3 linked regions of the Rattus norvegicus genome follow. The main gene of each other region encodes a partner of the protein of the gene in region 2 in a complex. Links are inferred from orthologs where the notes say so. Each region holds a gene or a part of one and is shown on either strand. Other genes may lie near its edges. The genes, in order: Nutm1, Ep300 and Mitf.

Region 1 (4,024 bases), on a different chromosome or scaffold from region 2:
TCAGAGAGTCTTAGCTTTCAGCCTAGGCTATATAGCCAGACTGTCTCAAAAATCCAAAAGGAATTGAAGAAGTGGCTCAGTGCTTAAGGATGCTTGACTCTCTTGCAGAGGACCCATTTTAGGTGCCAGCACCCACATGGCAACTCCTAACTGGTTCCAACTCCAGTTCTAGAAGCTCTGACTCCCTCTTCTGGCTTCTGCAGGTTCCAGGCATTAACCCAGCTGCACAGTCATAAATTCAGGCAAACATTCATACACATAAAACAAAACTACATAAACCCTTTAGAAACTATTAAAGATTATTTATTTTTCTTTTTTAAAGGTGAAGGTCTTTAATACCAGTTCTGAGGAGGTCGAGGTGGCCAGATCTTTGTTGAGTTCCTAGCCAGCTAGGGCTGAAGAGTGAGATCCTGTCTCAAAAATAATCAATTAATTAAAATCTTTTTTAATGTAGTAAGTTTTTTCAGCAAGTGGAAAAAAGGCCGTGGCTCCAATGGATTTCAGAACTCTTGTGGCTGGACTGTTTGGGTATTACAGAGAGATTTTTTTTTTCAGAGAGTCCCACTTTGTAGCCCAGACTTTTCTCAAACTCTTACTTCCCAAGTCCTAGGATTACAAGTGTCTGTCGGCTTCTCAGGAAGGTGGCGCTCACCCCACAGCAGTTGAACATTCTGGATCATCTGAGATACTTCAATGTCAAGCATTTAGTTTATAGTTTTTAATCTTCAAGTATACAAACTGTGCACTCTGAATTTGGCTCAGAAAATAGAGTCATCAGCGAAGCAAGCCGAAGGTCCACACCATTCAGTTATTAATGGTAATCCAGTTTCAGAACTGGAGAAAGGGCAGGGCTCGGGATTAGATTGTATCGTTGAAGAATAGAAGAGTAAGAAGCCAACAGTGAAAACTGCAGTGTAATGCTGGGAATCTGAGAGACGATGGACAAACTGTCCTAAAAGAGGACACCCAGCAATCATGCTATCAAATTCACTGAGGGATTTTCTAATTTTTGCTTACTTACTAAAACCCATCGAGTAAAATCTCCCCATTTTCACTACATAATATCCTTTCCCCTCCCCCACTACAGAATGCCTGAGTCCAAGATTCTAATTCTGTTTTGACCCAGTCTTTAGCTTACCTTCCTTGGATATCATCTGTTGGAGCTAGGTCATTGCCTGGATCCTGGACCCAACTGTTTCATCCTGGAGCCATCCAGACCGCCACTGTTGGTGTACCTAAACCCTGGGTTATGGCATCAGATGGATGTAAGACGAGGGGTGCTGGAGTGCGGGGTATCTGCGGTGTCACCTAGGGACAAGTCATAGGTCAACCTATAGGGATTTGAGGAATTAAACCCCACACAGGCATTAGGGAGCCCAGAGAAATAGATCTTTACCATCAAGAATGGGGTAGAGCATCCTTGGAAATGAACCAAAATCTGTCAGAAGTACACACTGAATATTGGGACTGGGAACCAATTACCAGTTTGATTCCCAGGAAGAGGGACCGCTTTAACATGCTTGGGGTGGAAACAGAGGTTTATGTTTTAGTATAAGTGGTGTTGCCATGGTTTCAAGGGAAGAGCCATAATCCGTGTCTTTTGACCTGCTCTAGGACTTCACCATGGGAAGAAGGCAGGGCCAACTCTCTTGATCACTCCAGGAAGGGTGGAGCAGTGGGATTGGGCCAGGCCGATTAATTAGCCTTTCTCAGAAAGCTAAAACTCAGTGGGGTTATTCATTTATGAGCCCGTGAACAGGGCTAGAAATTTTGTAAAAGTTTTTGTTCCCAGAGCGTGATGACTCCTCCTAGCCCCAAGGGTGCTACTTGTCAGTTCAAGCACCAGGCTTTTTTTCTCTTTGTTTTTTCTTTCATTGTAATTTATTATGCATCTGTCTGGAAGTTGGGAAGTCTAGGTTAAGTTTCCATCTAATTAGTGTTCTGGAGAGGGTCTTCCATAGACTTCCGTTTCTGAGCACGTGTGTTCTCTCTGTCTCAGCATTCTGTGAGCCAAATCTGCAGCATCCATTTTACTTTTTAGTTTGAGGCAAGGTCTCGCTAAGTTTCTCAGTCTGCCTTTGGACTCCCTCTGTAACCTAGGCTGACTTTGAACTTGTGATCGTCATCCAGAGTGGTTGTATTTATAGACCTGCATTTTTTTTAGAGGAAAGTTTTTTTTTTAAGATTTATTTTTTAATTTCATGTATGCGGCTACACTGTCGCTGTCTTCAGACACACCAGAAGAAGGCATTGGATGCCCATTACAGATGGTTGTGAGCCACCATGTGGTTGCTGGGAACTGAACTCAGGAACTCTGGAAGAGCAGTCAGTGCTCTTAACCTCTGAGCCATCTCTCCAGCCCCCTGCATTTATTTTTTTAAGTAACTGTATTAATTATTTTGTTTGTTTAGAGGTAGTCTTTCTTGCTTTTCAGATAGAGGAGATAGGCCATCTCAGCGACAGACAGTGAGATGCTTGGTTTTCCTACCTATTGTGGAGCTCAGACCTTAGGAATAGTTTCACTGTGTTCAGAACTTGCTGGTATTAGTCCGATTCTATTTCATATCTCCTTTATGGTTAGTAAGTGGAAGCTGAGTGGTACTGGTTTGTCAGTGGCATACTTTTTTTCTTTTTTTTTAAGAAAAAAGGAGGAAGTATTGAATGAAATTAGGCCAGTTTGTCTCTGTTTTTATCATTAAAAGTCATGCGGGACACGGGCAGGCCTTTTTAATGAAGGGTGCTTATCATCCCCCTCTGCCTGACCAGTGTCCACATAGCTGGTCCCTAGCAGGAGCTAGGTTTCTTTCTTCCTTAGCTCCAGCCCAGCGCTTCTTTGTGATCCCTAAACTTTTACTATTAAGAAGCAGGTCCACAGAAAGTCTGTGCTGCCAAATTTCAACTCATCCATGGTTGAAACTGAAAGTACTGGAAATCTCCCTCCCTCCAAGGTTCTTCTGTCTCTCCACAGTGACATTTCGGGGAACCAAGAATCTAGGCTGACCTTTTTCTGTCCTGGAAATTGTGCTTCTGTGGCTAGTGACAGGAGCCATAGAGCGGTTGGGATCAGGTGGCTTCCCTGTCCTGTGGAGTAGGTAGAGTTAGTAGAGATCCATGCATTTCGAGTGGGACTGTTTTTGGAGAAATGAGCTTCATGAGTCCTGGGGTCATTGAGCCTGTTCATAAACTGCATCTTCTGTTATTTGAGGAGATTATTAGGAGAAAGCGGTACAGGAAAAGGAGGAGAGGGATGGGCCAGTGTTTGTGAAACCACCTCCTTCTCGGGGGTCTCATGAGTGCTTCTCAAGAGCCAGGAATTTCGCCTGCACTCGGCATGCTTGCAGACTGCTTTTCCTATTTCTCATCTTCTTGATCTGCCTATGGAACTGGCAGGGAAGGTCTTCGGGAGTGTTATGAGAGACGCTCTTACAGGCAGGGATGGTGTCTCTTTGAAAGGGAGCAACTTCTCTAGCCTACTAGCTCAGGGGTAAAGGACTACTTGAGAGGCAATTGCAAATATACCCATCCATGTCCCTTCCTTCACATGTTGAGTCATTGCTCTAACCCCCTAGGGACTTAAAGGAAGTCAAATGGCCTAACTTCTTCCTACTCCCTTCTCTTCTTTGTCTCAACAGCCTCTCCATTACCAGGACCAGATATGGCCATGAAACCTGGTACTGGCCTGTCCCCTTTCAGTACACTTCCCTTTGCCCCACCTCCTCCCATTCCACCAGACCAATCCCTCTGGGAGCCATCACCACAGCCCCCTATACCGCCTGTCTTCTCTCCAGGCAATCCTCTGCTCCTTTCTGCTTTCCCCAGCCCATTGTTGGTGACAGGAGAAGGAGGCCCTGGCCCCAGTGTGGCTGGAACTGGCCAGGTCATTGTCAAAGTCAAGACAGATGTGGGGCCAGCTGAGTCCTCTCAAACTCAGAACCTTATAGTTACTCAGACGGCCCTAAACTGGATTCACTCAGGTGCTCCCTGTGGGAGCCAGGAGGGGCCTCCTCCTCGATATGTGACAGCC
Region 2 (3,591 bases):
CAGATAGACAATATTGTATGCTAAGGAAAGGGCCTGTTGGGGTTGGTAGCACATTGGTAAAGTGATTCAACAATCTGTTTTGACCTCCAGCCACATGAGAAAAGGAACAGGGATGGGGAGAGTCAAAGTCAGAAGCAGGGTATGTTTAACCCAAGTCACCATTAGATTCTAGGTTAGAAATTAAAGACAGGGGGTTGGGGATTTAGCTCAGTGGTAGAGCGCTTGCCTAGGAAGCGCAAGGCCCTGGGTTCGGTCCCCAGCTCCGAAAAAAAGAAAGAAATTAAAGACAGATCTGAAAGCTGCTTCTTACCTTTCTGCCACAGCAGTAGCCAAGGCTTTGCATGACAGGGTCAATTTCTTGTTCAAATACTTCAGAAAGTTTGGAGCAATATTTGTATACCCTTGAAGTTTTACGGTTATATAACCAAGCATTGTTGAACATAAGCCAAATATCATCTATATATTGCCAGGGCTCTTGATACTGTCCAGTATCTAACTTCCTCTTGATTGTAGAAAGATCCATGGGGCTCTTCACAATATCAAAGTAATCCTAGAAGTATAAGCAACACCACATCACATACTCATGAGCAGGGTATTTAGGGGAAAGGGCGTGTCTTTCTATCAACAGCATTAATTTTCCACACAATGAAATGTGTCCCAGGAGTTGACCAAAGTCTGTCACTTCTTTAAATACTAATCTACCAATGTATTAAGAGGTTTTGAGGATTAAATACTAGAAGGCGGCCTACAAATCCTAAAAAATTAGTGTTGTAAGGAAACAGAAAAACATGGAAAAATATCCTGAATAAACTGTGCCCCTGAAAAGCACTCTAATACCATATCCACAAAATAACACTTATGAAAATCTTTGAATAAAACCTGCAAGCAATCTGGGTGCAATACAATTTCCAAACATTTCAAAACTAACTTTGGGGAAGCAGGCAGATCGATGACCATGAATTTGAAGACAATTTCAGGCCAACTAGGCATACATATATACCCCCAACACAAACCGAGTCTCAAAAAAACAACAACAAAACCAAAAACTTGATTGAAATAGAGGAAGAGTCACTGACCAATGGCTCTGCAGTTAAAACCATTCGCTGCTCTTAGAGTGGTTGCGCTTTCTGCACCTCCATGATAGCTCACAACCATCTTTAACTCCAGTTGTAGGGGGATTCACCACCTTCTTTTAGCCAACGAACCACACACACACACACACACACACACACACACACACACACACACACACACACACACACACACACACACCATACACACGAAATATAAATAAATCTTCAGAAACAAGGAACTCATGTTTTTACCATGATCTATAGCTGTTCAAGTGATAATAAATTGTTGACCCAACAACTGTACCTCTAATATACCAAAGAGATTCATAAATCTGTAACACAAAAACTTACAAACTCCTGTAATATCGGTGCATGAAGTCAAGGCAGGACCTAAAAGTTCAAGGATAACTTGGGGTACAACGTGAGACACACTCTCAACAACTAAACAAATAGCAAAGCAGTACTGGTACACCAACATTAACAGAGGTCAGTCTCAATGGCCCAAAACTGGAAATAGCCAGATACTTGCCAATTAAATACATGCACAAAATGCAGTGGCATCGACATGACTGAGTGTTACGATACACGAAGCACTGGCTGACACGTAACAACTGACACGGGAGAACCGCAAAGTCTGTGCTGCTGACCAGGGTCAGTGCAAAGCCCTCGTTCTACATTGAGTGTGATTCTCAACACCAGAAGAGGAAAAACAAACCACAAGAATCCAGAGGAATTAGGCAGCCTGGGCCTGGGAAAGAGTAAAAGTGCTCCAACTAGTGATTTTAATGGAGGTAGGGTTTATTTGAGGAGGTTATGAAAATGCATTAAACCATGGTGATAGTTGTACAATTTAGTTGAAAATGCTAAAACTTGTACACTGTAAACAGGGTAAGTTCTGTAACATGTATTACGTTAATAGAGCCATTTCTCCACCTAAAAGGAAATTAAAAAATACCAAATACTTACAGGGATTCCTAGAAGCTGCGGGTCCACAGGCTGACGAAAGGGAAGGGATTCTGGGTCCTGTCGGTAAAGTGCCTCCAATGTTGGCATCAGAGCCTGCCGTAATTCTTCTGGTTTGAAAACTTTAAGGAGAGTCCATTGAAATCAATTATTGACTGAGCAAAGGATATTAAAAACATATTCATGTTAAAAGTTCTAAAAGCACCTGAAGTATCCTAGACCACAAAAGTGATAATACTGTTCTCAGAGAAACTAAGGGCTCAATTTCGAATTTTAATTCCCACTCTAATATCACTTCCTCCTGTAAAACAACAGAGCTGCCCCATCCCTCACTTTCCAGCTGCAGGTTGATTGAGAATGGACTTGGCCAAATAAAAACTGAAACCAAAGGCAGTCCCAAAAGCTGTCTGTGGAAAGGGGGATCTACCAAGCAGAGCTAGCAGTGTCCTCTTTGAACTGGTGTGGTTGTACAAGGCAGCACTCTTAATGCCAGGCACAACACTGCAGAAAGATATGTGAGGTAAGGTTGTGGGATATAGAACGATAAGGACACAGCAAGGTCCTGTTATGGAATGCATGCTATGAAGAGTTCAAGAAATAAGAGACCAATAATTTAAAAATTTTGAGTTTTATTTTTATTTATCTGTAAGCATTTGTGTACCTGTACACAAACACATTTGTAGAGGTCAAAGAACAATTTGCAGAAGTCAACACTCTTTCCAGAATGGCTTCCAAGTGTGTATGTCTGTGTCTCTCTGTATTTGTAGACCAAGGGTCAACATTAGAGGAGTGTTTCTGTTCAGGTTAATAACCTTGTTTTTCACATTTAATACTTCATTTTATGTGTTTGTGTGTTTGCGTGAATTTATGTGCTAAATAAAGCCTGAGGAAAAAAAGTGGGTGTTTGGATCCTGGAACTGGAGTTACAGGGAATTATAACCTACCACGTGGTTGCTGGGAATCAAACGAGTAGTTAAGCACTTAACTCTCTCAACCCTCTATTCTCAAACCCCTGCCAAAAAGGAGTCTTAGTAGGGTCTGAACTAACCAGCAGGTTCCAGAAATCCTTCTGTCTCTACTTCCCCAGTAGTCAAATTACAAGTGTACCACAATGCTCAGCTATAAGACAGGGTCTCACTGTCTACCTCAGCTCTACCTGGAATTTGCTATGTAGTAAAAACGGCTAGCCTTGAATTCAGATGTTTCTGCCCCTGCCTCCCAAGCACTGGAATTAAACATGTGTACACATCTGGTGCATCTGCACAATAGGTCGCAAACAAATTCAGATCCTGATGGATTGTGGGAAAGGCATTTCACCAAATGGATGACCTCCTGAGCCTTTACTTACTCTTCTTCTTTGACTGTCCAGGAGCAGGGGAGGACTGTGCAGCAGAGGTGCTCGGCTGGTCCTCCTCCTCTTTCACTTCAGTCTTTAACTCAGGGCCTCTCTCCTCTGTTTCTGTAGGTTCTACTTTACCATCCTCAGCTTTAGCCTGAAAGACAAGGCAGAACTTTCACTATTTCACAGACATACTCCTCGGAATAAGTCCATGAC
Region 3 (4,233 bases), on a different chromosome or scaffold from region 2:
GTGAGAATTTGCAAAGAATGTCTTCAAGATAGCCGAAAGAAAGCCAAGATTAATAGTCATTGAATAGCTTTTAACAAGTTCTATGCATGTATTATGTGTGTCTGCTGCATGTGCATGTGTGTGGGCACCTGCATTTGTCTGTTAGAAGTTGGCTTTCAGGAGTTAACAGTTCCCTACTTTCGTCACGAGTGTCCTGAGGATCAATTGCAGGTTGTGTTTGCAAATAAACACATTTTACTGGCTGAACCATTTTGCCTGCCCCCAGTGCATATAAATTGCAAGTAATTTTTTTTCTTACTTTTGACCTTGCAACACCATCTCAAACAGGTTTCCTAATCTCTTCTTTCATAGATGAGGAAATTAAGGTTTCTAGGAATGAAACAGACATGTCTAAGATTGCACAGGATTTCCTAGAACAACTGGGGATTTCTACCATCTTAAAATGCCACCCTTAACACCGATATCTCAAAGCATTCGTTGTTGTTTATACACGATGAAGAGTCCTGCTGGAACTAACCAGAAGACAGGTCTGGACATACAAATGAACCAAAGTGCAGCCATTTAATAATCACCTAACCGAGTGCCTCGAAGCTGCACCGGCATGCAATGTTAGGACAATCTCATTTGAACTCCCAGCCAACTGAGAAATTGAAAGCAGACGGTGGTGAGCTGTTTGGTTACTTGGTGCCTTTTAAAATTAACTGAATCTTTCAAGTGCTGCTTTAGATTAGAGGTGACTAATTGGATAAAAGGAAAGAAGCCTTTCAACGGATGAAGAGTATTCTGGGAGCCCAGAAGGAGTTCCAGAAAAGGAAGGCACAAGAACAACTCCTCCAATAACGCTTTCATTATAAAAGTGAAGTTTCCAACACTCTGTTCCAATTGAGGACAAAATGATGTGTCGCTGCAGCCCAGAAGAGCTCGGGGGCGAATAGAAAGCACTTTTATTTTTAAAATGGGCTTTAACTCTGACCGAAACTTTCTAGCGTCAAAACCCCTTAGTGTTTTATTTTTTTGAATGAACGCTCCGAGTGTCTTCGCAGATGTCTAAACCAGGAGGGACAGTAGAAGCCCAGACTGAGTCCGTTCTTATTAATATTAAACAGCCAGGTCTGTATCCTTGAGGCAAACGGGAGAGACACGGAGAGGAGCTGCTGACATTGACAAGGAATCCAAACAGGACTTGCACTATCGGTGTACACCACGTTGCCTCTCCCCGGTTTGGCCTTCTGGGAATTGTAGTTTTGCGGAAGCTGATATCCTGGAGAGCTGGTATGCTGGGCCTGGGCAGAACCACAAATCCCAGAGCGCACCGGGCCCGGCCCCTCCCGCCCTGGTGTGAGAGTAAACTCACCGCGCCGGGGCGGGCAGCGGGCTAGCGGGCTGAGTGGGGCACTGAGCGGGGCGCGCGTCTTGGGGTACCCGAGGCCCTCCCCATCTTTGTCAGGTGCCCGGGTTCTGGTCCAAGTCCCAAGCAGTGGAAGGCGGGCAAGCAGGAGTCATGCAGTCTGAATCGGGAATCGTGGCGGATTTCGAAGTCGGGGAGGAGTTTCACGAAGAACCCAAAACCTATTACGAACTCAAAAGTCAACCTCTGAAGAGCAGGTGAGTGGTGACAGCTGGAGGGAGGCGCGGCAGGAGGCCCAAGGGCCCGGCGCCTGCTACCCTGGGAGGAGAACAGCCAGTCTGGATAGCTCTGGGACAAGGACCCCGTGCCCTTGCTTGGGGTACAGGGCGACCTAGCCCCTGGCATTTAGGGTCCTGCTCACAGATGACTTGCTCGCATCCCAGGTTATCTGACAGTGGCACTCTTGGGACACCGTGAGTCTCTTGGGATGGGTCATCCAGGCTTGGGGACCCTTGACTGCAGATGCCAGCTGCTGAGCTGGATGGGGGCTGGGGCGGTACCCGGCGCGAGGTGGGGTAGGAGGAGCACCGGACAGGGACGGTGATCTGGTGCTACCAGGAGTAATTTTTCTGAAGATCCTAAGCAGGCTGATGGGCTCCGAGAGGGAGAGCCTGGGGTGGATGGAGATCTGATGCTTCAGGGTAGCAATGAACTGGCCTTCCCTTGTAGTCTAGCCCCCCTGGGACATACTACTTAGAGAGACCTCTAAGTGAAGTTCACCTGGCTTTTACCTTCCACCTCCCACAGAACAGCACCCGCGCCCTGGGCGGGAGGTAGTGTGTGTGGGGTGGATGGGGGGTGGGGGGGGAGGTTGCGGGTGGGCGTGTCTCCCCATTCTTCCTTGCAAATGCTAAAGGAAGGGAGGGAGCAATTAAGCTATCTTAGAGGCCTGTGGTGGTTGGGAATGATCTCCTTGGCAGCTACACACATTTAATTCTCCAGGTGCTTCAAGAACTTTGGGCTTGGAGTGAAGATGCTCTCTAGTCTGGTGCCTCCTAACAGTCAGTACCTCTGCAGAATTGTTATCCCTCACACCACCCTTCATTGCTACTTGTCTGGCAGAATTGGTTATAACTCTCCTTGGTCACTCTGGACCCTTGAAGCCCTTTTTATTTGTAATGTTTATGGAGGGAGGGGGTAGTCACTGGAATCTGTGACTTTGTTTCTACCCTTTCGGTTGTGAGATGAAGTAAGGCTAACCCAGGAAGCATCATCACCTCGACTGTCTAGGGTCTGGATGAGTGAGGTCTCCACTTCCTACCTGGCAAAGGGGCGGAGGGCCTCCCTTTCAGGAGCCAGGGAGGCAGAAGTGAGGGGCAGAATCCTTGCTTTGGGAGAGAAGGAAGCTGAGTCTTAACTGCTGGAGAGTGGAGCCAGGTTCCTTTCCTTCGGGGCTGGGGCAGGACCTTGAATCCAGTAATGGGAACAAACTCTGGGAAGAGTTTGCTCTTGCTCGAGCAGGCTTTTTGTACATGCTTGTGGCAGAGTGGAAGGAAATGTGTTAGGCATCAAGATGCATAAACTCAGCCTTTCACTAGTGGCTTCTTTTCATAAAGGCTATTTGTATGTGACCGTAGATGGGGTGTATTGGGTGCTCTGAGTGACACTGTGTAAGGCGTATTGTTGGTTATGCTCACTAGAGCTTTATCTGCATGTGGCTGAAGGGACCAGTGTTTTACTGAGCAGTCCCTGCTTTTGCTTCTATAAGCAAATGCTTACAAGGCCAGAATGAGGGGGAGTGTGTGTGTGTGTGTGTGTGTGTGTGTGTGTGTGTGTGTGTGTTGCTGAAAGAAATGAATTAACTGTGCTGTTCGAATCATTTGGATGGTGGCTGTTACATTAAATGAGTTTTAGGGAGTGAGGAAAGTACCTTTGGGGAAAACCAACGAGTGCCCTGACACTCACGTAGAAGGATTTGGTTCTATTCTTTCTCACAGTCAGCAAGAATGGCACACAAGAGCACGTGTCCTCTGGAGCTAGCTAGCTAGCACAGAAGGAAAAATGTGGGGATGTGGGCATAAACAGCTTCACACGTTAGTACGAGCAGCAGGTGCCAGGTATGCTCTTTGAAATCGACCCATTAAATAAAATCTGTGAATAATTTTCTGGAGAGGGTGACATATTGTTTTTGACCGTTGTCCTAATGATATTACCATTGACATTTGTTGTGTGACTTTAAATGCAGTTCAGGGCCTTCTCATTGCTTGCAATTGAAGTCTACTGGGGAACCCTTAAAGTCCTGGTTGGAAAAAGGTTGTAATGAAAACTTGCAGATTCTCAAAACAAGGACATCCCACTGTATTGTCTCCATCAGCAATTCTCAACCTGCGGGTCGTGACCCCTGTGGGGGCTGTTGTATGACCCTTTCACAGGGGTCGAATATCAGCTATCCTGCATAATCAGATATTTACATTTATGACTCAAGGCAGTAGCAAAATTACAGTTATGAAGTAGCAACAAAAGTAATTTTATGGTTGGGGGTCACCAGAACATGAGGAACTGTATTAAAGGGTTGCAACATTAGGAAGGTCGAGAACCACTGGTATAGATTGTTTCAGGATTCACCCATTTCTTGCCTATTTCTCTGCTCTGACTTTGACCAAGTCAGTGTCAGTTTTTGCCTGAGTTATTGCAGCAATCTCTTAGCTCTCTCAACGTTGGCCCGTTTTAGTACCTTTTAAATTTAGCGCCCAGCGTTCTTATTAAACTGATTTTTTTCTTTTTTAAGGCTGAGACCTGACTCAGTAACTTGTGTGCTTGCCACACGACTGTGAGGACCTGAGTTCTTTTCCAGGAGCCCACATGAAGAAGGCAGGCATGGTGCT

The links.
Region 1: the proteins of Ep300 (region 2) and Nutm1 are in contact, whole or in part, in an NMR structure (PDB 7XFG), measured with the Homo sapiens proteins. The link is inferred for Rattus norvegicus from reciprocal best matches to the Homo sapiens genes EP300 and NUTM1. Residues at the interface, in NP_001420.2 of Homo sapiens: Arg1731, Ser1734, Ile1735, Arg1737, Ser1757, Lys1760, Met1761, Val1764, Ile1781, Lys1783, Gln1784, Leu1785, Ile1786, Ala1787, Leu1788, Tyr1791, Lys1794; in NP_786883.2 of Homo sapiens: Tyr405, Pro406, Asp407, Pro408, Gly409, Leu410, Leu411, Tyr413, Ile414, Glu416.
Region 3: the proteins of Ep300 (region 2) and Mitf are in contact, whole or in part, in an NMR structure (PDB 8E1D), measured with the Homo sapiens proteins. The link is inferred for Rattus norvegicus from reciprocal best matches to the Homo sapiens genes EP300 and MITF. Residues at the interface, in NP_001420.2 of Homo sapiens: Ala1723, Ser1726, Pro1727, Gly1728, Arg1731, Ser1734, Ile1735, Pro1780, Lys1783, Gln1784, Ala1787, Leu1788, Lys1794; in NP_001341533.1 of Homo sapiens: Val226, Ile230, Leu233, Glu234, Ser235, Tyr237, Asn238, Glu239, Glu240, Ile241, Asp246.

Annotation. Positions count from the first base shown.
Region 1 is NC_086021.1:119,515,825-119,519,848, reverse strand, and holds the start of Nutm1 (NUT family member 1), read left to right. Parts: upstream 1-1,139; 5' UTR 1,140-1,249; coding exon 1,250-1,265; intron 1,266-3,632; coding exon 3,633-4,024. UniProt on the Homo sapiens protein: Plays a role in the regulation of proliferation. Regulates TERT expression by modulating SP1 binding to TERT promoter binding sites.
Region 2 is NC_086025.1:115,036,341-115,039,931, reverse strand, and holds part of Ep300 (histone acetyltransferase p300), read right to left. Parts: intron 3,530-3,591; coding exon 3,385-3,529; intron 2,159-3,384; coding exon 2,040-2,158; intron 551-2,039; coding exon 311-550; intron 1-310. UniProt on the Homo sapiens protein: Functions as a histone acetyltransferase and regulates transcription via chromatin remodeling. Acetylates all four core histones in nucleosomes. Histone acetylation gives an epigenetic tag for transcriptional activation.
Region 3 is NC_086022.1:131,964,371-131,968,603, forward strand, and holds the start of Mitf (microphthalmia-associated transcription factor), read left to right. Parts: upstream 1-1,369; 5' UTR 1,370-1,501; coding exon 1,502-1,605; intron 1,606-4,233. UniProt on the Homo sapiens protein: Transcription factor that acts as a master regulator of melanocyte survival and differentiation as well as melanosome biogenesis.